Linked DNA regions of Oryzias latipes. The protein of the gene in region 1 interacts with the protein of each later gene in a pairwise test. Links are inferred from orthologs where the notes say so. Each region holds a gene or a part of one and is shown in the gene's direction. Other genes may lie near its edges. The genes, in order: filamin-A; thrombospondin type-1 domain-containing protein 4; pelo; hspb7; casr; refilin-A; fatty acid-binding protein, liver-type.

Region 1 (4,715 bases):
TGGCGATCATTTTGTGCCAAAATCTGACATTTAGCGATTTTCACGTTTTTCCACAATACAATTACAAAAAAATTAGCTTTTTTGACAGCAATTTTCACAAAATTTCACACACATGCTGCTAACTTAAGTCAATAAGTTAGTCTGGAGTTTTGTTGACCTTTGACCTCGGGTATAGGCCAATATCTTGAATTAAAAAAAAAAAAAGGTCCTTTAGTACCAAATACAAACAAAAACTTGTCCCAGCCACATTAGCATAACTACCATAATAAGCATTATTAGCATCATAAGCAATGTATTTTTTGAGACAGTCAATGATGCTGATAATGCTGGCACTTTTAGCCACCTGCAGTTGGATGCAGTTCAGACGGCCTTGCAGAAAGAGACGGGGGGGAGTTAGATGTGCGTAGTGGCTGTTCAGCAAGTGAGGTCGGGTCAAAGGTGGGTGGTGAAAGCGGCGGTGACGCTTAGACGAGGGCAGCGAGGGCAGCGAGGGCGGTGGTCGTGCGTAGAGGTGGGTCGGGTTGAGGCAGTTAGCAAGGGTGAGGGCGTATAGGAAAAAATTAGAATGTGCAAAAAAATATGTAAAACGTGAAATTCTGTAATTATGTACACAAAAGGAAAAAAAATCCATCAATTTCAAAATTTAATTTAAATTTTAAAAAATTGTCTTCCTTTAAAATCCTGTTTATCCATATCGAGAGCAAACACTGAACTGATGAATAAATACATGTAAAAATGCTCTCAAACTGGACCAAAACATTCAATCTGGATTCATTTGAAACGTTTGATTAATTAGGATTTCATTTTAGAATACAGTAAAACTAACGCAAGTAAAACTTGATCCTTTTAAAGTGCTAAAAAATCTCCACCGGAACCTTTCTCTCAGAGCCAAAGAAGCTGTTCATTCATGAAGTTTTCTAATAATAAAAGCAGAATTGCAACACATTTAAAGTCTCCTGTCATCTATAAAAATATCTGTGTTCACTGCTAACAAACGACAGGAGGTTCACAATGGCAAACATCTGGCTCTTGTTAATCCAAACACAGATGAAAAAACCTCAGACTTTCAGAATGATGTCATTGATGTGGCTGGATCGTTTAAATCCATCACACTTTGAGTCAGGCTCTGACCTCTTCGTGGCTGCACCTCTGCTCCTCTTCCTCCCTCCCCACTGATGAAGGCATCAATGGCCGCGCATTTTTGTCTCCTGAGCCAATGCTCAGCTGGAGAGCATGCACGCAGAACCTCTTTGTGCGCGTGAATTGACGCGCGCGCGCACCAACCAACCCCAAGTTGAGTCAAAGCAGCAGTGATGAAACAGTCTGTGCTGTGCGCGCGTTCATATGAGCGCTCGAAAGGAGGTTGGGGGGGGGGGGGTGTTACCCCCAGGGGGGGGGGGGGCAGGTGACATCATACTTTTAAATTCCCACAGGCGCGGTCATGACGTCTCCTCTACAGAAAAAAAAAACCTGAGGCTTCACCCGTTTACCAATTAAGGCCCTCCCGACAGAGGAGCAGCGGGGGCGGGGGGACCGTGCGCGCAGGGGCCGGTCCTTCTTCAGTTTTACGCTGCAGCAAGAACATCATTTCCCCCACCGGGAGTGCGCGTGGGGAGGACGGTCCGGGACTGGAGGAACACACGCACACTTACGCATTCCGCCTGTGAGAGCGCGATCACAGAGGAGCAGCTGAGACCCACAGCGGACCCACGCGCCCGCGACACGGCACGACCAGGTGAGTCTCGCGCCCCTGATGTTCAGCTGCAGCCAGCTCTGCTGGTGGAGGATCTGTAGAACCTAACTTGACGATCCTCAGTTTTTACGCCAAAATGTTCCGCTACTTTCGCGCCTCTCTGCAGGCGGCATCACAGTTTCGGGGCTCCGCTCCAAATAAGGGAAAACACAGACAGATCCTTCGGGGGGTGGGATGAGGGCTCGTGATGCTGCCTTTTCTTACTAGTGGGGGCAGAGGTGGACACGCGCGCGAGCTGGGAGCAGATCCCGAGGCGCAACAAGAACTCTGGGGCCACCTGGTGCACGAGAGACGGCGACCAGGTGGAAATGAACAAACTAAAAGATTTTCTTTGGAATGAATTCAAACTACTAAAATAATATTTTTTTTTCGTCTGTATTTTTTTTTGTTACAAATAATGTTAAGTTGGTTTTGGAAAAACTGGCTTATATTTTCCAACTAAAGCTAAACAAATCATATTCTTAAAAATGTATTAAAATTAATTAAAATAAACGTCTTAAATCCGATCCAAACTGTTTGACCACAATGACCCCCAAAGGTCATCTATAGGAATATTTTACATATCTACATTTTAAGGTAACCTCTGGAAAGAGTTTTTTCTCTGTCTTTTTTTAATAAACTTTATAACCTCTGGGCAGAGTTGTTAAAGGATGTCTCCATATGTAATGCGTGTCTAAAACTTTCACATTTTGAATTTTGGTATTCTGAGGTCTCCTGGGTTCTGAGTGACCCCTCACCGCTGTTGAATGCAACTCAAATCTGCGGTGTTTTTTCTTTCAACTGTTGCCAAGTGCTTTTAATTAAATACCAGTTTGAACTGGTCATAAAAGAATGCTTCAAATCTACGAAACAGCTCGACTGAACCTTTAAGTCTTGGTTAAACAGCAGCTGGATGGGGGGTGTGGGTGGATTCGTTCCTTCACAAGAAGGTGGAGCTGCTCTGAATCTAGGATCCAGCACGGAGTTTCGTTTTTGCATTTTTGGTTAATGAAAGGCTCAGAAGAGCCTCAGCTGTTTGCAGCTCAGCTTCTTTTCACGAAGCTGCTCTTTGGATCCAAACTGGGTTTAATGCCTCATGAAGCTTAGTGAGATCGAAGCTTTTAATGTGTTGGATTTGAATTTGTTTGATTGTTTTTTCACTGAATTTAATTCACCTGCCCTTTTTAAATGAAAGCCAGACTGTGTCCACTTTTGATTATAGTCTTTGAAACTAAAAGACCAAAAATCTGACTGTGCTCCTGGAATTTTCCAACACTTCTGAGAATTTCACTTCTTTTTTCTTCTGCTGCTGTTCATAGAACAATTGTAATAAAACCATCAATTAAATAGCTTGAGCCCTCAAACAAAAGACCATACATGATAACTTAAAAGACAAACATATGAAAACAATTCAAAAGTAGCAAATATCCTTCAAATAAATCATATTTTGGGTCAGAGTTTTGAGAATTTTCTAAATTTCATGAATGAGAACTTTATGGATGGTTAAAGACCCAAAATTGTGTTTTTAGATAATGGAGGACACGTTTAAAGCTAATTTTGCTCAAATTTGCATTTCTGAGTATTTCTTTACTCAAATCGTGAATCCGGAGCAGACGGGAAAAATGCTGTTTGTAAAAGACCGTAACAGTGATGCAGTTGGCAGATCACAAACTCCCTGCTCCGCTCCATTCTGATGCATCCATTTATAAAAAAAAAAATAGATACAATAACGTCTTGGTTTTCCTCATCCGAGCTGGAATCTGGCTCGAAACTGTACGGGTGGATAGCTCAGATATTGCTCGCCATTTTTGTTGCACTGTTGTGGGAGTGAGGGGCTGTAAGCCATAGGAGGAGAGAATGTAAACAAAGGGATGATAAGAAGGTAGGGCTGTCTTACGGTCCCGCCCCATAACTCAGAGGCACATTTCAAACCAACACCTGCCGCCCTGCAGAAACTATGACATAAAAAACAACAGATTTAAAAAAAAATTGGGGTGAAAACAGCACAATCATAGTTAAAAAACCACTGGGAAAACTTTGAAAATAGATCACAAGCTGACCAGAATGAGACTTTAAAGGCACAACGTTCATCAAATCGAGCAAATGTTCAGATTGGGTCGTTCTAACTGAAATCAGACTGGCTGCTGTGTACCACTATTTGAAAGCATCTGGGACAATAAATAACCGTACTCGGGTGAAAATATTGGTTCTGGAGCAGTTTTTTGATTCATTGTCAGAAGAATGTTTGGTTGAGGTCATAGAATGACTTCAAAGTGGAATTCCTTTTTCAGGAATTAGGGGAAACACAATGACTTTTGTTGAGCTAGATGTCTCTAAAACACCTCTGACTTTTTTATGACATTGCATCTTTTATGGTTTGGCATTACCATGACAACAGAAAAAATGGCGAGGGACGTGATGCTGATAGGAGAGCGTGCAGAGGGAGGTCTGAGGAGGAAACCTGTCCTCAGTTGACGTGCTCTGCTTTGCTCTGCTCTCTTTGGCACCAGTTTGAGAGGCTGAGGAGGAAAACCGCATAATCTCTGACTCTCTCTACTGTGTGCCATGTGGTTGGCAATGTTTTTGCTCACATTGTTTAACTTCCTGTGCTTATTTTTTATTTTTTTGAACTGCTCGCTTTAGATGTAGAGGATGAGAAGCTGCTGAGAAAAGATGCAGCTCTGGAAGAGAAACTTTTATTTCACATACTCACCCTTTAAACTCATGAAAACTGTACTCAGTCAAAGTTTGATGCTTGTTTGATTCATGAAGGTTATGTCTTACAAACATTTTAACTCACGTACCACCTGCAGTTCTGCAGCCCATCCTATGGTTCTGGTTCTATGTGGAACAGTTCATTAACCTTAATAAACTTGTGAAGGCCATGTTATAAAGATTTTTTGTTGTTGTTTTTTAAACTTAAAATTTTTACCTCGTATTATCAAAGGAGCCATTTGAACCCTGATATTAATGCTTTGTTTAT
Region 2 (4,564 bases), on another chromosome or scaffold:
TCACTGGGGAGAGTCATCTGGACTGCTTTTCTTCCTCGTGCCTGTTCCTGAGGAAGGGGTTCTCTGGAACCCTTCACATCTGTTTAGCTGCTGGCATCATCACAGTTTTCTGGACTTGTTTTTTTCCTCCAGGTCCCTTCTTCTCAGGTGTTGGGGGCATCTGGGATCTACCATTTTGGGGAGGGGTGCTGTAAGGGTTCTGTGGTTTAGTAATGATATTATGTTTTGGCCATGTTCTTGGTTGCCCTTTCTGAGTCAGACCAGTTTCAGCTTAATCACCATCCACAGTTGTCTTCATTTCAGTTAATTGCCCTCAGTCCATTTAAGTGCCTGGTTTTTAGGTAAACTGTTCTGCTTTTTCACCCTCTTTTGTTTCTCCATGTTTTTTGTGTGTGTTATGTTTCAGTGTATTTATTATATGTTATGGTTACTGCCACCACACCTGATCTCTCCTCCAATTTAGGTCCTACGCCACCAATTCCTGAGGGGCTGTAAGCTAGCAGCACAGCGGGTAAACAAAGGGATGATGGGAAAGGAGGGCAGGCTTACTCTGCACCAACAGTGCCGCCCACAACTCAGAGGTGAATTTCTGAATGATTCCTGCTGCTTTGCAGAAACTATGTCCTAGAAAATGACACGTGTTTTTTTTTTTAAATTCAGCCTAAAACGGCCTAATCATGATTAAAAGACTAAGGAGACTTCAATATAAAATTAAGCATTTTGGAGTAATTTCTTAAAACATGTCATCTTTCAAATATTACATTGATGCCAGTCCTGATTTGAGTGAACAGTATAAACTCCATAAAGGCTTGTGTGCATCCTGAGCCTTTTCCTTCAAACTGAGTTACGTTTTATTGGTTTAGAAATCACCAGCCCTTTCTTGTACACGTGCCGCTGGAGAAATCTTGTAAAGAACCTATAATTTTTTCCTGTGTGTGTGTGTGTGTGTGTCACCATGTCTCCTGAGGGTCATTTGACCTAAGTTACTCATTTTAGTAAAGTGTCTGGCTGGGCAGGGCTGTGTGGATTGTCATTTCATCATGTTTAAATGAGATGGCATCAGATGGTTTTTCACATCTGTTTCAGCCCTCACACACACACATATGTAATCATACACACTCAGAGAGGCACATTTCAGCCTCAGAAGTGGCTTGTCTCCTGGGTGCACTTATCCCAAACACCAAATTGCTGAAGCATGTTTGGTTTCTGGTGTTTCAATGGGATTAAACAGTGCACAGAATGCATGTTTTTCTCATGTAAAAATATCTGCTTGTTTTTCAAGAATGGGGGGGGGGGGGACTATGAATCATATTCAAACTGTAAACCACATCATTTGAGCTTGTCAGAGTGTCAGACTCATGAGATAGTCCCTTCCCAACTTTCTTGAAGAAGGCTCAGGATCGTCTGCGCTCATTATTATTCAGTGTGGGAGAAAACGCACAAGGAAACGTTATTTTTTCTTTCTCGATTGTGCAACTAAAACGAGGCTCTGAGGATTATTATTGCTTAGTCAGGACCAACAGTTTGTGAGTATGACAGAGAGAGAGGGTAGGAAGGCGTGAGGGAGAGGAGGGGGAGTGTATAATTTGTGCATGTGAGAGTGAGAAGGAGCCCGAGCGAGAGTTGTATAATCTGTCCATTTTGTGTCTCCCCTCTCCCTGCGTCTCTTTGTGCCCCCACCTGGTTTTCATGCGTCACGGGAGTTTATAATAAGGAAGGACCTGTGAAAAGTTGTGGACTGAACGGAACACACGGAACTCCTCCCGGTGACAGAGCAGGAGCAGTCCTCGCATGTCTTTCAGGCTGGAACGAAGCTCAGATTTGGACCCAAAGCATCACTGAGAGTGTCAGTGTGCAGGAGAATTTTGGAGCATGCAGCTCGGTTCACTGATCAGGTAAAAGTCGGTCCCGTCCAGCTGCTGACTGATTCTTGTCGCCGCATGTGGATTTGCATCTTTCCTTGAGTGTTTGTGCTGACTGTCTCTACGGTGGTTTTGTTGGTGCGGGAAACTTTTACGCGCGAGGCTCACTTGTTGCGCGCCGCTCGCTGCGTTAAATGGTTGGAATTTACCCAGAGGCGCGCATTTTTGAGTAAAAACTGTGTGTTTCCACTCAAATTGGACTTTTCTGAAAGTATTTGTCAGTTAAAGGTTTCTCTCACCCTCTCCCTGTCCTCTCAGTGAGTTTACTCTGCAGTAGCGGCCGTGGAAACGTGGAACCGCGTAGGGGGTCGTTATTTCGGCCTGAGCAGCTCTGTTGTGTCGGGCTGTCCGGGACTTTTCTCTGTGTTTTTCGGGGGTAATTGTGTATTGCAGCGTGGGGAAGCTTCCAGAGACCGCGGCGGTGCACCACATTGGGTAAAACGAACCAATTACACTGCCTACATGTGGCTTGCGGACTGGAGATTGCGGTGATGGTTTGGTTCTCTTGGTGAGCGCTGCAAACTTTATCCCAGCGAGCCCGGCTGTACTTGCACGGTCAGAGCAATTTCTTGGCAGACTGCAGGACGTTATTCCACTTGTTTCCACTGCACTTGTCTCAGAATGTTTGTGTATGGGTGAGATTTTTCTAAATAGATCCGACATTCGCACACAAACAAGTGAGCTTTTGACACTTCTACAGAAAAAGAAAAAACTTAATTTTCTCTTAGAGTTATCCCAATTCCTGACCTCCCTGCAGGAAAACCGTCCTACCCCAGATTGTTTTCGATGTTGGCTCATTAAGCCTGTGTGTGGTTATTGCATATTAGTGTTAAAACCACATCCTCCGGGTGTGTGCAGAGGGAAAACACGCAAGTGCTTGTAAGCACTTCCAAGAGTTTCCCAGATTGATTGAGACGTTTGAACCCCGAGGTCATCGTGAGATTTGTCATCACTTTTCCCGACAAACACCTTTCCATTCAGGTGAAACAGGTTATTTAGTGAATGGAACATTCCTATACCTCAGCTAAATAATGTAAATTGAAGGAAAATATTTGAGACAGATCACATAGGCTTAGAATAATGAGAGTCTTATGTGTGAACGTGAATGGCTTCTAGCTGCACTTTTAGGTCATGGAGTACTGATGTGCTTTAGAAAAAGAACCCCATTCAGCTGCTGTCATTTTTAATCCTGTGATTCTGCCACTTCTCTCCCCCTCTGTTCTGCATCCCTCCAGGCTCTGTGTGCTGTTGGCTTCTGTGGAGGTCACAACCTCCACAACCAAAGCTGCCAAGAGGAAGGTGAGTCATTAGATCATCCAGTTAGGTCAACACATGACTGAAAAGTCAGGTTGACACCCCCCCCTCTCCCTTTCTGTGTGTCCCAAAGCATGAGACCAGAACAGAGAAAGTTAGAAATAACCTTTTTCTTATCGTTATCCTCTCCTGGAGACCAAATACTGTCATGCTTTGATGAGCTATTTAACCCGGTGACAGTAAATGTTACTGATTGCTCAAACAGGGATTAAGGCAAAATCATGCAAAGGGGCGTGCACTGCTGGAGGGTGTGTTATTTAAGTCGAAGCAACAGATAAAGTGATTTTAAGGCTTATCTGGCACCAAAATGTCGCGCACACACCAGCAGAAACTCTTTTACCTTAAAATATGCTGTCATGAGACAATCACCAGGTTCTGTTTTGGTTGAGTGGCAGAGACAAGACTTTGCCAAATGATGTAATGCTACGTAAAAGTCTAGTTGACCTTTTTTTAATCGCTGTAATCATTCATTGCTGGATCTCATTGTAGAGACGCTTAAATCCTTTTAAAGGCAAGAGGGTTTGAGAAGCCTTTTTTGCTCAGGAAAACAAAATATAAATTATACCATCATAGTTAAAATAATTAAAATTTAATCTAAAGCCATATTATTTAATCCATCACTCAAAAACAGTAGTGAAAGCTTCTTTTCCAATGAAAAGTTATGTGTCTGCTCATGTTAAAAGTCACCTTTTTTTTTAATAAATTGTGATGCGTGTGTTTATGGCAAAGTTCAAAGGACCTCCAGATTTATGAATACAATAAGTATCTTGTAAAAAGTTTTAGGAGCAGACCAAAATAGCACCTCAGTGGTGCTGCAGAAGTTAAAGTGGTGGCTGCAGAGGTTAGCAGTGGTTGCTGCAGGGTCACTGCTCACAGCTCATTAATGCTCCCAGTTATGTGGCAGCTGCAGGTTAGATGCCACCTGAGACATGGACTTGGACTTAAAAACTCGAACTTCAGTATCGCCTGCAGAAACTTGAGGCAGAAACAGATAAGCAAGTGGACAAAGTTTATCTGTTTTTTTTCCTCTTTTTTTTTTTAGCTCCAGGACATCAATGTCAGAAAAAATAAATGAAAACTGTCTTTACACAGCGTTTGCACACCACTGGCTGTTATTGTGTCCCCACAAGTTGTTTAAAGTAGTTTAACAACAATTTGTGACAATAGAATATTATTTTAGAAGTTTTCGGACTATAGACTTGTCTTGGATTTGTATCCAAATGCTTCAAACTTGATTTAAAGGGCCTATAGCATGCTATTCTTAAGCTTTTTTGAGTAATCTACATTCATATATATGATAATAGATTACCTTTGGCACACTGAATAGC
Region 3 (4,703 bases), on another chromosome or scaffold:
TTAATACATAATTATTAGTACAAAGGTAAAACAAATTCTTAGAGGTATAACAAAATACTGTTACAACAGAATCTTTACTGTCACATTTTATAACATCATTACCCATTTTATATTGTACCTTTTAGAAATATTCAAAACATAATAATTACAGAATAAAAAGTGATGAAGACAGAATAAGTAAATTCGTTTCATTTACTTACTTTTATGTGTAAACGTTCTTATTTTCAAGTCTAACTTTATGAATAAATAATGCTTTTTTGGGAACTATTCAGACTGACCTCTAAACAGAGACTTGTTTTGTGGACAAACTGACTTGACCATATTTACAAGGATTCTTGCACATATTTGGGATTCACCAAACACCCATCCAAATTGGCGTCAAAAACAAGTACAGATACCGAAATAATCATAATGTAATGATACAATAAATATAGTAATAAAAAAGCACTGCGAATAATAACATCAATACACACATCATATAGACAATTGCAAACAACAATATGTGCCTAAGCTTACTGGTACAATTTTTAATACTAATCAAAATGAAAAAATGTTTATAGTAAGGTAAACAGCGAATAAACAGAAAAAAGCGACCATGTTAAATTTAATAATGTTGTAAAAATGCCAAGCAAAATATTGGGATTTTTCTTTTCCAAAACACATATATAGATAAACCTGAATTTTAATTTTAAAAGATTCCACCATTAGAATGAATATCAAAGGAAAAGTCGAACTGTTTTCTAAATATACCACAATTAGACTGAGACAATTTTGCAAGACGCGGGAGATGATTAACTTGCTAGCCTAGCACCGGTGGCTATCGTTGTCTTCTGTTAGCTAAAATGGCACCGAATGAACAAATATCGCCAGAAATGTCTTACCTTCTAGCAGACGTTGTATAATGGAGTCGATATTCAGCTTGTCGGCTTCTGCCATGCTATTCCCCTCTTTCGTCGGGTTTGTTCCCAATAGTAAAAATTCGAAGCGTACTGTCGCTTACCGATTTAGTTAGCCTAACTACTTTTGCGTTAATCGGCTATCGTCGTTAGCCCGCTAGCTAGCTAACCTTGGGGAATGATCGACAACCTCAAAATTTGAGGATTGAAACGGATTTGTTAAAAATATGATGGATGACATGTGCTGCACAGCAAAAAACCTATCTATATTTCAGGACAAGATTTTTGAATTGTTTGATATCAGTATTTCCTCGTTACGTCGCTGTTTCTTTCGTATCTACTAACACCATGCCATCGACCAAAAAAAGAACAGAAGATCGTTAGCTCAAAGAAAGGTTGAACGGAAGTGGCCTGTCTGTTTTCGCGTTGCCATTGGTCCACTTTCCAACATGGGCGGGACTTTTCATTCAATCTTGCTTCTGATTGGCTATTTTGAATGTCCGTCAGTATTAACTTTTCTCAAAAAAAAAAACCCCGCAGCGTAAGGAGGACAGTCGTTTCCTGATATTATCAAAGTTTAGACATATAAATAAAATAATATCTTTCTTAAAACAATCAAATAATAAACTATTTGTGTGCACCCATCCAGAAATGTTTGACTTTGGTCAGCTTCGTTTTTGTTGCGCAGTGAAGCAACACCCACGGAAGTGACTTTGATGGGAAGAGCTGATGACGTTTGTTGGCGTGACGCAAGCACGCATTGGCTCTCAACAGGAGCGATTCATTCTAAAGTTCTGACATGGCTTAGTTTAGCTTGTTTACCTTAAAAAACAAAACATGTATCGAGCTTGGCTTAATACAAGTTTTTCACTTTCACACTAATATTCATTTTGTATTTTAAAGACCTTTCTACCATGAAGTTGCTCCAAAAAGATATTGAGAAAGATAATGCCGGGTGAGTGAATGCTTATAGCTAGTAGTGCTAGCTAGCTACCATCATACTGTTTTGTAGTTTGATAATAAATAAACACAATAGTTTTGTTGTACGCAGGAAACGTGGACAATACTACAATTCTTTGTTTACATAGAGCACAATATAATAATATGATATTCCATGTTTTAATATATCTGTACCGTTCCACCAAAGAAATTGTAGCTGACTGCTCAAAACAATAAGGCTTAACTGTTATAATATTTGTGAACCAGCTTTAATGTGTAGAATATTTTATATGAGGAAATGCTTTCTCAGTCAGGTGACTCTGGTTCCTGAAGAGGCAGAGGATATGTGGCACACTTACAACCTTCTCCAAGTGGGGGACAGCCTCAGAGCTTCAACCATCAGGTGACTTTTCTTTAGCCCTATCAACTAAAATCCTGTGGGGCTGCGCGGTGGTTAGCGCTCTCTTGCCTCACAGCAAGAAGACCCCCGGTCCGAGTCCCGGCTGGGGGACCTGAACCAGAACACCAATGAGGGACCTTTCTGGCAAGTTCTCCCCGGGCATGCGTAGCTCGTCTTTTCCCCCACCATCCAAAAACATATTTCATAGGTTAATTGGTGACTGTAAATTGTCCCTAGGTGTGAATGTGAGTGTGCATGGGTGTTGGATTTGTGGCCCTGCAACAGACTGGCCACCTGTCCAGGATGTCCCCTGCCCCCACCCACGTGTGGCCGGGATAGACTCTGGCAGCCCCGCGACCCCGAAAAGGACAAACGGGCTTAGAAGATGAATGAATGAATGACAGGTTTCAGTGAATTTTTCATTTAGGTCCAATCTATCTAAGACCTATCATTTTTGAACTATTTAAAAAACGTTCCCGCTAGTCTATTGATTATGATGATGCCATTTTTAGCCAAAATATTTATATATAAGAGATGTTGTTTTCTAGGACATAGTTTCTCCAGAGGGGCAGTACAATACCGTAGTTTACTAGAAATTCTCCTCTAAGTTGTTGGTGGGTCAACCCAACCCCCCTTCCCCTCTCTGTTGCTGAGAGCTCTTTGTTTATGCACTTAAACCCAAACATAACATTATGGATGCAACAAAAATGGGGAACAATATTGGAGCTATCCAGCTATACAGTTTTGAGCCAAATGGCAGCTCAGACAAAGGAAAACAAAGACCTACATGGATCTATTCATCTAAAAGTGAATGCATTAGAATGGAGCAGAGCAGGAAGCTTGTGGCCCGCCCAAAAAAAAGCCCTATTTTTAAACATTTGTTTATCATTCACGATTATTTGAATAAAGACAGACTCAGAAATGCAATTTTGAGCTTACGGTACTTCTCTTTATACATGTCCTCCATCATAATTATAAATGCCGCAAGAACAAGGTAAAAACACCAAAAACACAATTTTCATCGCTGCCGGTTTTAAGAAAAAGAGTGCAAATGCTAAATGGAACTAATGTTCTGTCCCATGTACTCGCAGAAAGGTGCAGACAGAGTCTGCTACTGGAAGCGTGGGCAGCTCTCGGGTTCGGACCACTCTGACGTTGTGCGTGGAGACCATCGACTTTGACACACAGGCTTGTCGGCTGAGGGTGAAAGGCACCAACCTTGAAGAGAATCAGTTTGTTAAGGTCTGAGAATTCAGATCGACATTGGTTTAACATTTTAGATTTTCTTTGCAGTTAGATTTGTGTATCTTTTTCTGTTCTTAGTCGCATCTTTCATTTTGTACTTGCTATGACTGTATCAAGATTTAACTGAAGTCAACAATTAGGCCTTATTTAATCGTAAACTACACATCAATTATGGTAGAACAAACTCTCAAGTGTTTTTAAATTGATCAATATTTGTTCTTATTTAGAAAATTAAAAGTTGAATTATGATGTTAAACCTCCAGGCCTGAGATAATTTTCCAGATAGAAAGTGGTAATATTTTATTCTTTTTTTTTTAATAGATGGGAGCTTATCACACCATTGAGCTCGAACTCAACAGGAAGTTTACTCTCGCTAAGAAGAGCTGGGACAGCGTTGTGCTGGATAGAATCGGTGAGCAGCTGTTACTGTAGATGAGAACAAACAGAATTTGATGAGCATTGGTAATCATATCTGTAAAGACATATTCTTTCAGGATATTTCCATAGCAGAAAAAAAGTTGTACAAATGTTGATGAACTTTAAAAAAATTCCTGCATTGATCAGCATGGAATAAGTACCGGTAGTTAAAAATCCAACAAATGTTTCTATACATTTGAAAAAATGGTTTAACTCACTTTTATTCTACTTTTAATAATGAAGCGTTTTTCCTTTTTGCTTTAGAACAAGCGTGTGATCCGTCTCAGAAGGCAGATGTGGCTGCAGTGGTGATGCAGGAGGGTCTGGCGAACATTGTGCTGGTGACCTCCGCCATGACCCTGCTCCGCGCCAAAGTCGAGGTCACCATTCCGCGCAAGAGGAAAGGGAGCTGCAGCCAGCATGAAAAGGTTCATTCAATCAGGAAGTCTTCCAGTTCATTTTTTATTTTTTAATAGCCCTTTCACAGAAATCGTAGTGGATCATATTGTGATGAATATGAGCAAACTTATGACTGACTGACAGTAACCAGGAACAACACATCAGCACTTCCCATTAAACAACAATGAATCCCAGCCAGATAATACAGCCTTCTTACCATAAAAGACTGCCACTCATAGCATTCATGTTTATTGGTATATATAGCTTTAAGTTTGATGACAGGTGAGGAAGTACATTTGTGATTAATTTGAAATACAGCATGCAGCTGTATACATTTTTAAAGTTATAGGTAGGATTTTTAATTAACCCCAACTTACATGTCAACTTTACATCTAAAAATTCTCTTA
Region 4 (4,803 bases), on another chromosome or scaffold:
AGCACAAGGGTTACCAAGAACATGTTGAAAAAAGGTATCAGAGAATGGTTATTCTGACAAATATAATGACTGAGTAAAAGTGGTTTATTTCTGTTTAGAAGTCTATGAGATTTTGGCTTCTTGGAGCCAGTGTGTACTTCTTGTTTGGAACGCGAGGGAGGAGGGATCACTTAGTCCAGCTCTCACATACAGACAATGCTAAAGTAAAAGTTTTGATACACAACTGAGGCTGATTTGACAATTACCAATTACCCAGTGATGCTCAAAGATGCCAAATGGAGCTTCCCTGATGTTTCTGAGTATTTTCTTGCCTCATTAACACCATCAGCTTTGCATTCAGATGTGGACACCTTCTCCAGAACTGCCATCTGTTAATCATCCAGAGGGAGACTCTGCATGGACTCCAGGGATCATGGTGAGCCACGAGAGAAAAAGCCTTTCCCAGCATCTGTGGTGTAAAGCTGACGGTGAAAACTGCTGAAGAAGACATCTGAGTCTCTGTGGTTCCACTTTTCCTCCAAAGTGAAACATGCTTCTAAGCTTCCTGAGGTTTAATTGGAGCTTTCTGCCTAAGAACCGGGCCAGCTGTTGAACACAAATTAACTCTGTCAAATCAATAAACACAGCTTGACACAAAAAGTGTTTGGAGTTTGATCTTAGATGTGAGGAGCCTCTGCTGTGAATGATGCTGGCAAACTGAAATATTGCTGAATGTCATGTTTCACCTCATACACGAAACCACAGGACTCTGATCTCTTTACTGTTGCTTTGTGACACTGTTTGTAGATGTCTCAACAATCATAACAAAAAATCATTACTGCAATCGTCATAACTCTCATCACAACTATCGTCACTACTGTCTTGTCTGCCTTTCCTGCTTTGTCCAGTGTGCGTTATGGGGTTGCTAGAACTTATTCAAACCACTACAGGCAAGGACACTATGAACAGTTTACCAGACTACTGAGAGGTGGGTGGACACACACACATACTGGTTTTCATGCACTTTTACACAGAAACCTCAAACACACCTTGAAATTCTATTACAAACAGATATATGCAAACAAAAACACACATGCACGCACACATATAGACACAGAAACATATACTACACGTACACTCACACACATGCGCACGCACACACACACGTATACATACACTAACACACACATTTGATTTGAACCTTTTCTCTAGGGAGAGAGTGTTAACTACTACACCACTGTGCTGCCTCCTGAAAACAACCAAAATCATCCAAAAAAATTCAGCCAGAGGATGAATAAAATATATTTTATCAAATATTCACATTTTAATCATGTGAAGTGATCAGTTGATCAAAAAAAAAAGCACTTTGTCTGCATTGCTGGTGACGTTTCAGTTTGGGTGCATGGTCAGGATGACCTGACTGTTGAAGCACTTTTCTATTTCTGTCTGCATCTGTGCACCCCCCTCTATGTTATCTGTAGTGTGTATTTGTGTGTGAGTGTGAATAAGAAGTCTCCACTTACTATCAGTTTGTCCGTTACACTCTTGGCTCTTGTCGTTGGAAAAACAACCATCTAAGGCTAAAAGTATCTTGAGACCCAGAATGGTTCATGCTAAACCCCAGGCTGAAGAATGTGCAGGAATGCATAAAAGCAGCCAGGATGGCAGGAAGAGGTCCAGCCGTAGTCATAATCAGTGTCCTCCAAAGCTCCTTCTCTGTATTTAGAGTCGACTGGGAAAAATCCTGCTACACTTTTTCATCATCACACAAGTTTTATGAGTAAAACGTTTCTGCGATTCAGTTATGTCGTCTGTGTCCTCCTCTTACCGCTCCTCATCTCGCTACAGCACCTCCAGCACCTATCGATCAAGGGGATCACTGAGCGGATCCACAGATTCCCTCGATGTTCTGTTGGAGCCCTTCCTTGATTCTTCTAACTGTTCCAGCTTGTTTGGAGATGACAGCAGCCTGAGCCCCTTGAGCAGGAACAGAAGTTCATCCAGTGAGCATTCAGGTGAGGGAATCATCTAGTTTTACCATTAAGCAGGCTTAAAGTTACTAAAACATCATTGTCATCATTAGTATGTCATGTTTTGCATTTGTGCTAATGAGGACCAGAGAGCAGGTTCCCATTACACCTATTTTATTGCGTTGGTTCTCTGTTTGGTTCAGGGTTGATCTTGAGGTCCCAGTACTGGTTTTAAGTGTTTTGTGGGTCACATTCCTTCTTACAAACTCTCAAATCTTCCAGCAATGGCCTTTTAACTGTTCCTACAGTAAAATCAAAAACCCACAGTGAGGTTTTTTCACCGTAGGTTGTAAAGATGTGCTTCTGCTCTAATAACCTTCCGAGATTTTGAAGATGAGGCCAATTATTAGCTGTCCATGGCTAATTTTATGTTGTATTTTTTAACAATTCTTTTATTCCCACATCATAAGATTTCCTTTCATTTATTCTGATTGTAGTTATTTTGTAATTTACGTCTTGTGTTTTCTGTTTTTACTTTTCAATTCCAACCAAATTCTAGTTTTAGAGAGCAAATGTTTGATTCCAGTTTTCTTATGACAGGTTGTCACTAATGATGGACAGTTTTCACAGTGAGCCGTAGAGGCTCGCTGCTCATGAGACTGCTGATTCTGATGGTTCTCCTTATTAGCCACTCCTTCAAGGTTTTCCATGTCTCCTGGACTGTGTTATATTGAGAGTCAGGAAGTAAATTGTTTGGGGGTTTACATGTAATGGGTGGAAGATGTGTGGTTACTTTTTAAGAAGTAAAACACTTTGTAATGAATTTAGCTGTATGAATAAAGTTTTGATTGATTGATGTTGATCAGTGCACTCCTGAAAATTGGTCCACAAGCACAGTTTAAAGACAGCACAAACATTTAATAAACAACACAAAAACTTTAAAAATATTTAAAACTCAAGTTAAAATGAAGATGTAAAGTATGAATGTAATGTATTTTATTTAAAGAAAAAAAAATCTTTTACATTGTGCATATTTCAATCAGTCAACTACTTAGCACTTTTCATCTACAAGCTGTTGAGCACAAGGTGCTTGACAGAGGAATATATGTTATTAGTTAAAACAGTAAAAAGTCATAAGACACAATCGATTAAAAGGAACAACATTTAAAGCAAACATAAAAAAGAAAGACAATGAAATGGCTAAAATGTGACGTATTTGACCATAAAGCTTAGTTTAGCATACCACATGTATGTCACACATATGTTCATCAAAGAGATATTAGTGCAAAATTCCAATTCACATGTGGAATAATCACAACAATAATTCTCCTCAGCAGATATGAATAGTAAACTCCCTTGTTCTATCCTAGGCACTTTAACATTGGGAGTTGGGTCATCTAGACCCACTACACAGTGCGCTGAACCTTTTTTCTTCAATGCTTTGAGATCTTCACTGGTGTCCATGGATTACATGAAATCTTTCCACCTTTATCCACCTTTGTCATGGTAGGGAGAACACGTCGATGTAAGGGTCATCCAAGATGGCACAAGGGTTTACATGGATACATGTTTTTTTGTTTTTGTTTTTTTTTACTTCATCTTCTTGTTTTGATGACAGTTTAGGGTTTTCTTAAGCAAGGTTTTTCTACTTTCCATATTCTGGAGCTGACATCCTTCAGTTGTTCTTTTTTGTCTCCACAGCTTCTGCAGGTGGAACTGTGGCAGGACTGCAGACTGGAGCAAGTAGCGGGGTGCGATGTGTTGGTGATACTTACTACATTTCTGCTGATGTCAGCCAGTTTGAGCCACAGGATATTGTAATTATGGCCTACAATCAAAAAATCGTCATTCAAGCCCAAAAGGTGAGTGACGGAAGGAACCCAGGCTGGTTCCATTTCCTGTTCAGGTATACAAAATCTGATTACTTTCTTTCTTTAGGACTAAGTCTTCTTTTGGTTGTTTTCTTTGAAGCTGATTATCCAAATGAGACAAAGACCTTAAGTATCAGATGAATGTAACCTCTGTTTGTCAAGATGTATGTGTATTTATGAGCCTTTTTCATATTGTCCATGTCCATCTCAAAAGAAACAGTAATGGTGCAGACCATCGCACCTTTTTCAGATATAATTTTTGTCTTTCGAAAGAAAACAGGTTATCTTATTTCAGCTATCAGGATTTAAACTAAGATACCATGTTTAATTCTGCAATTCAGTTCTGTCTTTTATATATATATATATATATATATATATATATATATATATATATATATATATATATATATATATATATATGGTAAATGGTAAATGGCGTATACTTATATAGCTCCTTTCTTCCTACAAGGACAAAGCGCTTTACAGTCACAGACCCATTCACCCAGTCACACACACATTCTCACACTGGTGGCGGCTCCGCTGCCAAACACAGGCGCCCGCCTACCACCAGTATATATATATATATATATATATATATATATATATATATATATATATATATATATATATATATATATATATACTGTATATATGTAAAGTGCCTTGTAAAGTGCAGATAAAGTCCATTTTTTTTAGCTTTTTCAGTTTGACTTTTTATGATCAGTAATGCCAATATAATGATTATTCCAGTTTTATGTGTACCAATGTGTAGCCTGCTGTCCGCTTGAAATCCAAACCTGCCCTTAACCTGTTTCATGTTTGACGGTAAGACGTTATATCAGCAGCTGTAAAGAGGGTCAAGTTTGACAAAAGACAAAAAACAGAACAGTTTTTTAAGGGCTGGAACTATAAAACAGGATCTTCAGATTATTTTTCCTTCCTGCTTTTATCTATTTCTTAGATGTTTTCCCCATTACTGGTTC
Region 5 (2,929 bases), on another chromosome or scaffold:
CTGGCAGCAAACTACACCATCATAAACTGGCACAGATCATCAGAAGATGGCTCTGTTGTCTTCAAGGAAATAGGATACTACAATGTTCACATCAAACGCGGAGCCAAGCTTTTTATCGAAAAGAGCAAGATTCTCTGGAATGGTCATGGTTCCGAGGTTTGTGAACTTGTGTTAGGAAAAAAATGTTTCTGCAATGTTTTATGGCCATTGTACAGTTTGGAAAGGTTTCTTGAAAGGCATTCCCACCAAGGAAAGAAAGTTTTTTAGCCATCCAGATGCATACATCTTAGTGACTGTGGCTTACACAAGCATTATAAGGGATTTTGTTCATGTTAAACTTGAGATGACACTGCACATTGGTTATTTTATTCTAGAGCTCCCAAAAATCCAGTCTGAGTGTATTTTTAAGGATGATTTCCTGCTAGACTGAGTTTGTTTCCTTTAGAGCCTGCTAGGGATTGCCAAAATGAAAGTGGTCTTGTTGTTCAAACTGAATCCGCCCCAGGAGAACATTTTCACATCGATAGTATATTTCTGTCCTTACTATGTCCTGCAGGTGCCATTCTCTAATTGCAGTGAGGACTGTGAACCTGGCACGAGGAAGGGGATCATCGACAGCATGCCCACATGTTGTTTTGAATGCACAGAATGTTCAGATGGAGAATACAGTAATCATAAAGGTATTGAAATGAATAATAATCAAATCCGCTTCACACACTACTCAGATTTTTCTAAAAAAAAAATGTTGTTTTTTTTTTCAATTAATGCAGATTCCAGTGTTTGCACCAAGTGCCCAAATAACTCATGGTCCAACGGCAACCACACATTCTGTTTCCTGAAGGAAATTGAGTTTCTCTCCTGGACTGAACCATTTGGCATCGCTTTGACCATATTTGCTGTGCTTGGTGTTGTTTTTACAGCTTTTGTAATGGGGGTGTTTGTTAGATTTCGCAACACTCCAATTGTAAAGGCTACAAATCGAGAGCTGTCCTACGTGCTTCTGTTCTCACTCATCTGCTGCTTCTCCAGCTCTCTAGTTTTTATAGGAGAGCCACAGAACTGGACATGCCGTTTGCGCCAACCAGCCTTTGGAATAAGTTTTGTGCTTTGTATTTCATGTATCCTTGTGAAAACCAACAGAGTTCTGTTAGTATTCGAGGCCAAGATTCCTACAAGTCTCCACCGTAAATGGTGGGGACTAAACTTGCAGTTTCTTCTTGTGTTTCTGTGCACATTTGTGCAAGTCATGATATGTGTGGTGTGGCTTTACAACGCCCCTCCCTCCAGCTATAGGAATCATGACATTGATGAAATCATATTCATCACATGCAATGAGGGTTCTGTGATGGGTCTTGGATTTCTCATCGGATATACCTGCCTTTTGGCAGCCATATGCTTTTTCTTTGCTTTTAAATCACGCAAACTACCAGAAAACTTCACAGAAGCAAAGTTCATCACTTTTAGCATGCTCATATTCTTCATTGTTTGGATCTCTTTTATCCCTGCATACTTTAGTACCTATGGAAAGTTTGTTTCTGCCGTGGAGGTTATTGCTATTCTGGCATCCAGCTTTGGGATGCTGGCTTGCATCTTCTTCAACAAGGTCTATATCATCCTGTTTAAACCCTCAAGGAACACCATAGAGGAAGTCCGCTGCAGCACAGCAGCACACGCCTTTAAGGTGGCAGCCAAAGCGACACTTAAGCATAACACATCTTCAAGGAGAAAGTCTGGATCATCAGGTTCAACGCCATCTTTGACAATGAGCTTCAAAACTAATGAGGACTCAAATTTAGACATGAATAGGCCACGGGTGAGCTTTGGTAGTGGAACTGTCATGCTGTCCTTGAGCTTTGAGGAATCCAGAAGAAGTTCTATGTTGTAAAACAAAGACGTGTTTTTGTCAGACTTGGGCTACGTTCATTCAGTCTTGGCAAATCAGTGCAAATGTGTGTGTGTACGTAGAGAATGGACAATACATTTGCTCCGATGAAACTCAAGCTCTTCAGAAAATTGTACAAGGAACCCAGCACAGGCATCTGCAAGAGGAGCATCATTAGGAACAAAGATACCAGCAGCCTCACAAAACTAGTTCATAATTCTAGGATATCAAAGGAGAGAACAGTCAAGATGCCTCAACTTGCAAGAAGCTCAAAATCTATTGAAATCATGTCATATTTTGTAAATGTTATCCACAATTGAAGATTTTTCATCTGACTCACTCTTTCAATATAATAAACTTTAACTATTTATGTAGTTGGTAAAAAAAAGTTTCTTTTTGATAATTTGCCTTTAAAATATAAAGTCTTGAAATACTGATTATTAAAAAATAAATAAATACCTTTAATGTTGTTAAAACATTTTATCTTTGAGTTTAGTCACTTTTTTCCCCCTCTGAGTGAAAGGTTAAGCTTTACAGTGTTTTGCTGTACTTTGAGCTGTGGTCTTGTAAAGTGAAGCAAAAACATATTAAATGTACACACAGAAACAATTATTAGAGAGCAAGAGATAATCACAGCAAACTAATTGTTTCTTGGGTTATTGTTCTGTCACAGTTTGAAGTGTTGCGACCGGTTTTCAACAATAATAATAATAACTATTATTATTATTATTATTATTATTATTATTATTATTATTATTATTATTATTATCATGTTAGTTAGATTCGTATTTAAAAAAAACTGTGTTTTAAGCAGGTGTGGTGAAGAGATTTGACTTAAAGACAGGAAGGGAACCATTGTTTTAGATGTCTGGTGGGACTGAGTTCCAGAGTTGAGGAGCAGAGTAACAGAGTTTCTGAAGAGGTTTTTACAGAAAAGTAAAAAGTAGTAAATGTAAAAAATATGAACATTCCAATTATCTTGAATTAAGGTAAACTTTCTCACAGTCCAGTAGTAATATAAAAAAAGCAATGACCAATTTTTAAAGG
Region 6 (4,566 bases), on another chromosome or scaffold:
TGTAAGTGACACCACTATTGGAAAATCTTGTTTCAACTGTGCTCGAAAAAATAACAAGATCATACGTGCCCTGTTTCAGCAAAATGTAATTTCTGTTCCCTCTGCTGTTTTTTATTGGAGAAAATTTATTCCTGACTTGCCTTGGAAAAATGTTTGGACCCTGCATCAGAAATTATTAATTAATAACAAGATGAGAGACATCTCCTACAAACTCCTACATAGAATCTATCCCACTAATCAATACATGATCAGATATATGAAGACTATTGACCCCAACTGTACTTTTTGTAAAGAACACCCAGAAACAATCAGTCACCTATTTTGGAATTGTAATACTACTAAAAAACTTTGGAAAGATTGTGCACGTTTTATAAATTATAAATTAGATTCACAATATCAGATGAAATTTGAACATATCATATTTGGCCTACACGAAAAAAATATAAGATCAAACGTAAAATTGGCAATTAATCTAATTATAATATTTGGTAAATTTCATATTCATAAATCAAAGTTTTCTTCATCACAACTTTTTTTTCCTTTAATAATTAAAGAATTAGAATCTTATTTACATACTATTTCTAATAGTTTAAACAAAAAGGCCATACATATTTATGAAAACTGTCTGTCTCTGAATATTTTCATTGCATAGCATCTGCAATCTTTTTGTAATACATGTACCATCCCCTGACATTGTTGTTGTTATGACTATTGTTCCTGTCATACATATTTGATCCATTTGTGTTGAATAATAAAGTTCATTAAAAAAAAAATGAAAACAAACACCATGCCTCCTGATTACATCCCCAAGTGGCAGCATATGTAGATTAAAAAGTAGTGGGCCTAAAATTGAACCCTGGGGGACCCCACATTGATTTCAAAGACCTTTGGTGAGCATGTATCCATACTTGCATAACATCTTCGATCTGTGAGATAGGAGTAAAACCCCTTTAGTACAGTACCAGAGATGCCCAAACCTCTCAGACTGCTGAGTAAAATACTGTGATCTACAGTATCAAATGCTGTTCTCGTATCAAGTAGTACCAGGACTGAGAGTTTCTGACAGTCCAGGTTACATTTAATATCATTTACTATGTTAACAAGGGCCGTTTCTGTTCAGTAGTTAATCCTAAAATCACAACACAGACTGATACTTTTAAAAAGTCATTTAATTGGATTAAAACAGTTTTTTTCAATCATTTTACGTAAAAATGCTAAGTTAAATACTGGTCAATAATTGTGATGACCTTAATTACTCTTCTTCAGAAGAGGCTTCACCACTGCCGTTTTAATGGCAGCAGGAAAGACACCTGTCTGAAAAGAAGAATTTACTATGTTTAAGAGCTCAAACTCAAAGAAGTCATCAAATGTTTTTAACAGTGATGTGGGGATTGGATCTAAAAGGGAGAAATCTCAATAACCATTCTCGCCTGTTGGTCCCTGTCATCCTGACAGAACCAATAAAACAAATAAAAGACATAAACAATCAATAACTCCTTTTTAATTCTAAATTACAGAATCAGCCGCGCAGCAAAGCGCGTCTCAACGCAGGGTGCCAAACTTCACAGCTCAGCAGGAAATGTGGGATCTGTTCGCCCCTACCGGTGGCGCATGGAAGTAATCCAGATCATGAGGGCTGGACTCAATCCAGGTACAGAAAGAACGAAAAAAAAAGCCTGGCAGGATCATCAGGAGTGAGCTCTCTTCTGGAGAGCGCACGCAGACTCGTCTCAGTCATACGCGGGGACGCAAAGAAGAGGAGCTCTCATTCAGATCGCTACCACACGAACAGCCACTTTGTGTTTTGTTGTGTTTTTGGTTGTTTTTTTTAGAGTAAACAACACTTAAACCCGGGTTTTGGAGTGTGAAAAGAAAAGTGTATCAACGTGACGCACGATTGGAATATCTTTAATGATTAAAGGACGCGCAGGTACAGTACATTTTGAAGACAAAAACAGATTAGCCAACATCTCTCTGGATGGAGATCTGTTCTGTTCACAAGGAAACGACACTTTTTTTTTATTTCTGTTCCTTTGTGTACTTCCAGAAGTCGACAAAAAGTCAAAATTGTGTCTTTTCAAGCAACTTGGAGCACAACACGGAGGGGAAAGTGTGATTTTTGTTATTAGTTTTCCCCCTCATCTAATTCCTCCCAGAAATGGTGGGGCATTTGCACTTACAAGCGATGGATGATAGTCTAAAAGGAAAGAATCGAGAGGGGCTGCTCGACAGTCCGGATTCAGGGTTGCCCCCAAGTCCCAGCCCGCCCTTCTGCTCCCTCTCTGCGACTCTGCTGGAGTCGCGCTCCGGCAGCTGCACGACGCCCGTGGAAAGCCACCATGGATTTTACAAAAAGGAACGCCGAGAAGGCAAACTGGTAAGAGAACAGGTCTGTGTTCACTGCATTTTACTGTCTTAAAGTCTGGATTGGAATCATTTTAGATTCATTGACGCGCGCAGATCAGGTTGTTATTGAACAGTAAAGTAAAAACTGGAAACTTGCTGGGAGCATTTTTTTTGGTCAGTCTAGAACATCTGGAAGCTTTCTTTCCCCTGTCCCAGAATGAGATTCCTCAGTGGCATAATTGTGATCCTGCTTTCAGGCTGAGGATGTCACTGGCTCTCATTAAACTGCTGCACAAACCTGTTTGGTGTTTTCACTGCTGGGCATCAGGTGTGACCGTACCACACAGGTGCCCCCGAAGGTCAGATATTTTGAAGGTCCTGTCATGTCTGGGCTGCAGTCTCCTCTTTGATCTAGGAGTTTTGTGGACTTTTGGCAGTTTAATGTGAGAATAATCACTTTGTTTCCTCCTTGGACAGCTCAATTGACAGAGAATGGTAATGTTCTGTGACAAGGAGGCATGAGGCCCATCAACCCTGTCATGTGGGCTGAAATGATAATCCTACACATTTAATCTCAATAGTAGGCGCTCAGAAACTGCTTGTTTTAAACCAGTTTAAAATGATAACTGGTTCCAGGTAGAACCTACCCAACCTGTTTGGCATGATGCTTCTTCAAAAATTCTTAAAATTTCTTAAAAAAATCTCACCAATCTCTGACTGATAAGAAGTTGTACTTCTGTTTTCTGCTGTCAGACTTCTACCTCCACATGCATGGTGAGTGAACATCAGGAGGCTCGAAGCTGAAAGTGTGCACAGGCGCGCCTTCACCAATGACGGTCCATCGTCTCTGCTGCAACAGAGCCAGTCTAAGTCAGATATCATCCAAACCAGAAACATGCCAGTTGTTTACCCTCTGGTTATCACTGCAGCTTCCCTAATCTTCACAAAATTAACATTTTAACCAAAGTGCTGTGTTTCCATCAAACGCACTATCCACATGTATCTACAGGCAATGTACTTTGACCATTTTCCACTCTAACAAAGGCTTCATTGGCAATGTGGTACACGTTTTGGTCTCTTAAAGGTCAAAGAAGTTTTGAGTGTTTCAACCTGCGGTGACTTGTTTGCTGCACCAGACAGGGTTGGTTGAAGTGAAAGTCATTTCCCAGTTTTCAGGACTTTAAGATCACGGTTCTGCAAGTTCAGATTGACTTTAAGTTGTCAGAAGGAGGCTTCAACAATGCAGGGGTGCATGGTGCGGCTGCAATTAGTGAAACTGTCTGGTTTTTTGCTCCCAGGAATTCTAAATAAGCTGGCTTTTGGGTTTGTTTTTGTAAAAAAAAAGAAAAATAAAGAAAGAAAAACTCACGCTCTGTGTAACCCTTGTGCTATCTTAGATAGCCCCACCCTTACATTGACATGTTCTCCCTACCAAGACAAAGGTGGATAAAGGTGGAAAGATTTCATGTGATCCATGGACACCAGTGAAGATCACAAATCATTGAAGAAAAAAGGTTCAGCACACTGTCTAGTGGGTCTAGATGACCCAACTCCCAATGTTAAAGTGGCTAGGATAGCACAAGGCTTACGGGTGACTGAAGCCGTTGGAAATGATTGCATGCATCTTCAATATTTTGCAATTCAACAAACTGCTGTCAAAGGGGATTTAAATGTATGCAGGAAAAGCCAATTCTTTCTAAATGCATTATGAAGAAAGTTACAAGATCTACAAAATAGAGAATAAACAGCTCAAAGAAACTGATTAAGTGATAGTGGATCAGTCAGAGCACTATCTTTCAAGCCGTGTTTCATGAAATGATACAGATGCTCATCCATGCACATCAAAGAATGCAAAGTGTGAGGGGTTTGCCATCACAAACAGCCAGCAGCGGGAAAGCTGTGCTCATTTTTCCCTCAGTAGTCCTGCTTTGTTGCTCAGCTGGAGAACATTTCTTCTGGGCCAAACTGTGCTTCCAGGCAGGCTTATGCTTTATGTGCTTGTTGGTAGATTGGCTGCATGGAGGTAACTCACCCTCCATTCACAAGTGTTTGCTTTACAGATGCTGCCAGAGTCCTGCATGGAGAAATGTGCAGAATGCTCTGGAGCAACGAGGGCAAATAATCACACAGTGGTACAGTGTGTTCAGACCATGAGGAACCCTGGGACAGGAATCGAACGGCTTGCAGATATAGTTTACTCAGCTTTAACTGAAGCAAAAC
Region 7 (3,338 bases), on another chromosome or scaffold:
ATTATTCCAATAGGCGTAATGGTTTTGTTTTTGTCTTGCTTGGAGAAAAGTGAAATATTGTTCATCATAGATGCTGATGAGGAAAAAAGAAATTATGTGTGGATAAGATTAACCCCTCAATGCCTGAATTTATTTTGAGAATAAAAAAAATCATGTATATTTTGCTCAGCTATAGTAAATTCTGAGCCAAAGTGTTTTGATACATATTTGCATCAATAGTCGTCCATGGGTTAAACAAATGCATGTGCCTTTCTCCTTTTTACTAATTTCTTTTGAATTCAAATTTTATTTTATTGTCTACTGTCTTTTTAAATCTCTGACCAGATACAACAGGCAGTAAAATGAGTGAGAAAGAAAAGATTCTGAACTTTACTTTGTCCTTTTGATCTAATGGGTTTATGAACCATAAATTGTGATAACAACAGCTTATAAAGATGCAATAAATTGTTTTTTTGTTGTTGTTTTTTTCGTGGAAACCTGATCATAGAGAGTTGCACCACAGACCAGTCCTGCTTTATGGAGGAGAACGGAGACGACCAAAGCAGCCCGCTGGAGGTCAGCGACCCTGCTGACATCCTCCTCAGGCTCCTCCATCTGGCCGGCCACACTTCTCATCGAATCCACCAATGAGCTGCTCCCAACAGTCCCGTGGCAACAAATCGGCCCTTCTGTATAGTCGTGTTTAATTTTTTTTTTGGTCCATCATCAACTTTGATCTTGGAGTGCTTCTATAGGGTGCATTGATTGATATTTTTTATGTATAAAACTAGGGATGAACACAGAGAGATCATCCAGAAATCTGCATGCTGAAATAAAGTTTGGACACAATAACAAACTCTGTCTTGCTTTACTTTAAACTTGTTTCCTTTTCACTGTAATTACAAGGTTAACATTAGCCATATCAGAGATAATAGATGATTATTTTTCCTGCTTCTCCTTTAGACTCTCGTGCGGTGTGTGCCGTCATCTCACCTTCACTCTAAGAACATTGCTATTGCAAAATTCAGAGTGATTATCTAGTCACCTTTGACCAACACCAAACAGCTGCAGTTTATCCAGAGCAGGTAGAAAACTTCAGTGAAAATAATACCTCAATCAAGTGTTACACCAGTGCAAAGTAGATCTGTTCCTAATAAAATAACTTATTTAAATTTGGCATCATTTTACTGACGTTTCTATGGAATTGAAAGCTGCAGCACAAAAGTAACAAGCGTTTTAGCATGATTTACTTTCATATGAAGGCCTGCAAAGCGTTTTCTTTCTTGGTCATGTCTGGATGCAAACTTTAACTAATCCAGGTCAAACACAATATTTACCTATACAGGATAAAATATTCCAAATCATCTTTTCCCTTTCTATCCTACAGTATAGTGTAGTTTAAAAAAAGGCAAAAAGAGCAACAACAACAACAGCAAAAAACAATCGGTGGGACGATTTGAAAGAACTATCGAAAAACAATGTTAAAAGAAGAAACAGTAACCAAATGGACAATAGGCTATAAGGAAAGAGAAAGCTGAGAAAAAAAAATGTCACAAGGGTCACTCGTGTGTTTAGGTCCTTATTTGTACACATCAAAATATGATCAGATTTACTGCTTTCTCCTCTGAACTTTGGATTACCAAATTTGGTCTGTTAGCTCTGTGTGTTGTCCAGCTTCCTGTCGACTCTTATCTGTAGTGGTTGATTTCATGGTGAGCTCAGCTTATCAATGAAGCCCTAATTCCAGTCAGATTGTATAAATTATTAACCCCGTGGAGTATAAAAGTCTACAATTGCCAGCTGTTTGTCTACCTTCACTACAGCAGCCATTATGTCTTTCACTGGAAAGTACCAGCTCGAATCTTCGGAGAACTATGAAGCTTTCATGAAAGCTGTTGGTGAGCTACCATGTGGGATTAAAATGTGATGGTTTTTGCCTTTTATGCATTTAACTAAAAGTTTTCTGCCACAGGGATTTCTGATGAGAACATCCAGCTAACTAAAGGCTTAAAAAGCATCACTGAGATGGAGGAAAATGGCGACAACTTCAGAGTGACGGTCACCACAGGATCACATGTCATAATCAACAGCTTCACCATTGGGCAAGAAACTGAGATGCTGTCTGTCACTGGAGAGAAAATCAAGGTAAGCAAAAATGTTTTACTCATTAAACATGGCAATGCTTTATGATAAAAAAAAGATTTAAACATCAAGTTCTGTTGTTTGATTTGAAGACAGTGGTGAAGAAGGAGGGCACAAAGCTTATGATGAGTCTGAAAAGAGCGGACATTGTCACAGAGCTGGTGGATGGAAACACTTTAGTGACGGTAAAAATGCAAATGGACTTTGAGTAAAAATTGCTAAATCGAAATAAAATTTAAAAAGTATAATATACCGGTACTTGTGTTTTCTTTGCAGACAATGACTCTTGGCGACATTGTTTACAAGACGACATACAAACGGATTTAGTTCAACTGCAGTTGGGTCATACTTGAAGCAGTTTCTGTCAAAAAAAAGGTTGTTTTGGATGACATTAATGACTAAAATCAAAAATTCCTCCAGTCTTAAAATTAGCTCAATTCTGGGCATGGAAGAATCTCCACTTTACATTCCTCACAGTTCTGCTGTATTCATTTGCCAAAAGATCTGTCATGTGGAAATGTCAAAAATAAAATCAACTACAGACATTTCTGAGCGTTTTTTTTTTTTTTTACAAAACTTGCAATCTACACTTTGCTCATTTTTAATTTCTTGTATTTATCCTCTTCACATCACATTTTGGGTTATATTAGTGGCTAATTCTGCTTAACTGGGGCCCTGTTACTATCTTCAGAGGTTAAACAACAATTTTGTTATAAAACGCCTTTGTACCTATTGTACATAATGATATTTTTTATATTATATTTTGTTCGTAGATCACAATAAATTTGCGATTTATTGTGCAGGCCTGGTTCGGTGTAATTTAGGGTTAATTAGATGGGCTGAAAACCACGACACTTTACCAGGACAGTTTATTTTTTAATAAAAGTGTAACTACAAAACATGATACAGAAAATGGCTGTGTCACTTAAATGTAAAGACTGTCATTTCCACACTCAGAAACGCTCAAGTGTTCACATTACACAAGCTCTCCGGACTCTAGCTGCATAAGGAGTTACTTCCTCCGGTGGAAGAGATTCTTGATTCCTTCTTCCACAGACTTGGGTTCATGCAACATGGTCATGGGCTTGTTTTTCAGGGCGGCTTCTCTCATGCTGTGGTAAACGTACTCGTTCTGTTTGAACATCCTCAGTTCCATCTCTGTCTGCACACGCATTGCCTGCACATACAAACAAATTCAGGTTTTTCCATAGTGCTAT

What was found.
Region 2: the proteins of filamin-A (region 1) and thrombospondin type-1 domain-containing protein 4 interact in binary tests that used the Homo sapiens proteins (3 or more experiments, as listed by UniProt). The link is inferred for Oryzias latipes from reciprocal best matches to the Homo sapiens genes FLNA and ADAMTSL4.
Region 3: the proteins of filamin-A (region 1) and pelo interact in binary tests that used the Homo sapiens proteins (3 or more experiments, as listed by UniProt). The link is inferred for Oryzias latipes from reciprocal best matches to the Homo sapiens genes FLNA and PELO.
Region 4: the proteins of filamin-A (region 1) and hspb7 interact in binary tests that used the Homo sapiens proteins (3 or more experiments, as listed by UniProt). The two-hybrid records come from large-scale screens. The link is inferred for Oryzias latipes from reciprocal best matches to the Homo sapiens genes FLNA and HSPB7.
Region 5: the proteins of filamin-A (region 1) and casr interact in a two-hybrid assay, tested with the Homo sapiens proteins (2 studies listed by BioGRID). The link is inferred for Oryzias latipes from reciprocal best matches to the Homo sapiens genes FLNA and CASR.
Region 6: the proteins of filamin-A (region 1) and refilin-A interact in a two-hybrid assay, tested with the Homo sapiens proteins (2 studies listed by BioGRID). The two-hybrid records come from large-scale screens. The link is inferred for Oryzias latipes from reciprocal best matches to the Homo sapiens genes FLNA and RFLNA.
Region 7: the proteins of filamin-A (region 1) and fatty acid-binding protein, liver-type interact in binary tests that used the Homo sapiens proteins (3 or more experiments, as listed by UniProt). The two-hybrid records come from large-scale screens. The link is inferred for Oryzias latipes from reciprocal best matches to the Homo sapiens genes FLNA and FABP1.

The regions. Positions count from the first base shown.
Region 1 is NC_019865.2:4,616,461-4,621,175, forward strand, and holds the start of filamin-A, read left to right. Parts: upstream 1-1,605; 5' UTR 1,606-1,735; intron 1,736-4,715. UniProt on the Homo sapiens protein: Promotes orthogonal branching of actin filaments and links actin filaments to membrane glycoproteins. Anchors various transmembrane proteins to the actin cytoskeleton and serves as a scaffold for a wide range of cytoplasmic signaling proteins.
Region 2 is NC_019874.2:19,007,820-19,012,383, forward strand, and holds the start of thrombospondin type-1 domain-containing protein 4, read left to right. Parts: upstream 1-1,582; 5' UTR 1,583-1,872; coding exon 1,873-1,895; intron 1,896-3,157; coding exon 3,158-3,221; intron 3,222-4,564. UniProt on the Homo sapiens protein: Positive regulation of apoptosis. May facilitate FBN1 microfibril biogenesis.
Region 3 is NC_019877.2:7,512,252-7,516,954, reverse strand, and holds the start of pelo (protein pelota homolog), read left to right. Parts: upstream 1-1,409; 5' UTR 1,410-1,810; coding exon 1,811-1,851; intron 1,852-2,145; coding exon 2,146-2,238; intron 2,239-3,326; coding exon 3,327-3,477; intron 3,478-3,801; coding exon 3,802-3,892; intron 3,893-4,161; coding exon 4,162-4,325; intron 4,326-4,703. Other genes in the region: serine/threonine-protein phosphatase alpha-2 isoform, read right to left, coding at 882-936. UniProt on the Homo sapiens protein: Component of the Pelota-HBS1L complex, a complex that recognizes stalled ribosomes and triggers the No-Go Decay (NGD) pathway.
Region 4 is NC_019871.2:18,813,423-18,818,225, forward strand, and holds the start of hspb7 (heat shock protein beta-7), read left to right. Parts: upstream 1-1,629; 5' UTR 1,630-1,783; coding exon 1,784-1,994; intron 1,995-3,650; coding exon 3,651-3,811; intron 3,812-4,803.
Region 5 is NC_019872.2:14,171,105-14,174,033, reverse strand, and holds the end of casr (extracellular calcium-sensing receptor), read left to right. Parts: coding exon 1-156; intron 157-556; coding exon 557-1,885; 3' UTR 1,886-2,318; downstream 2,319-2,929. UniProt on the Homo sapiens protein: G-protein-coupled receptor that senses changes in the extracellular concentration of calcium ions and plays a key role in maintaining calcium homeostasis.
Region 6 is NC_019867.2:20,473,040-20,477,605, reverse strand, and holds the start of refilin-A, read left to right. Parts: upstream 1-1,671; 5' UTR 1,672-1,930; intron 1,931-2,047; 5' UTR 2,048-2,158; coding exon 2,159-2,389; intron 2,390-4,566. UniProt on the Homo sapiens protein: Involved in the regulation of the perinuclear actin network and nuclear shape through interaction with filamins. Plays an essential role in actin cytoskeleton formation in developing cartilaginous cells.
Region 7 is NC_019867.2:7,694,620-7,697,957, forward strand, and holds fatty acid-binding protein, liver-type, read left to right. Parts: upstream 1-1,746; 5' UTR 1,747-1,810; coding exon 1,811-1,877; intron 1,878-1,951; coding exon 1,952-2,124; intron 2,125-2,213; coding exon 2,214-2,306; intron 2,307-2,397; coding exon 2,398-2,448; 3' UTR 2,449-2,668; downstream 2,669-3,338. Other genes in the region: isotocin-neurophysin IT 1-like precursor, read left to right, coding at 488-630; histone-lysine N-methyltransferase SMYD1, read right to left, coding at 3,134-3,298.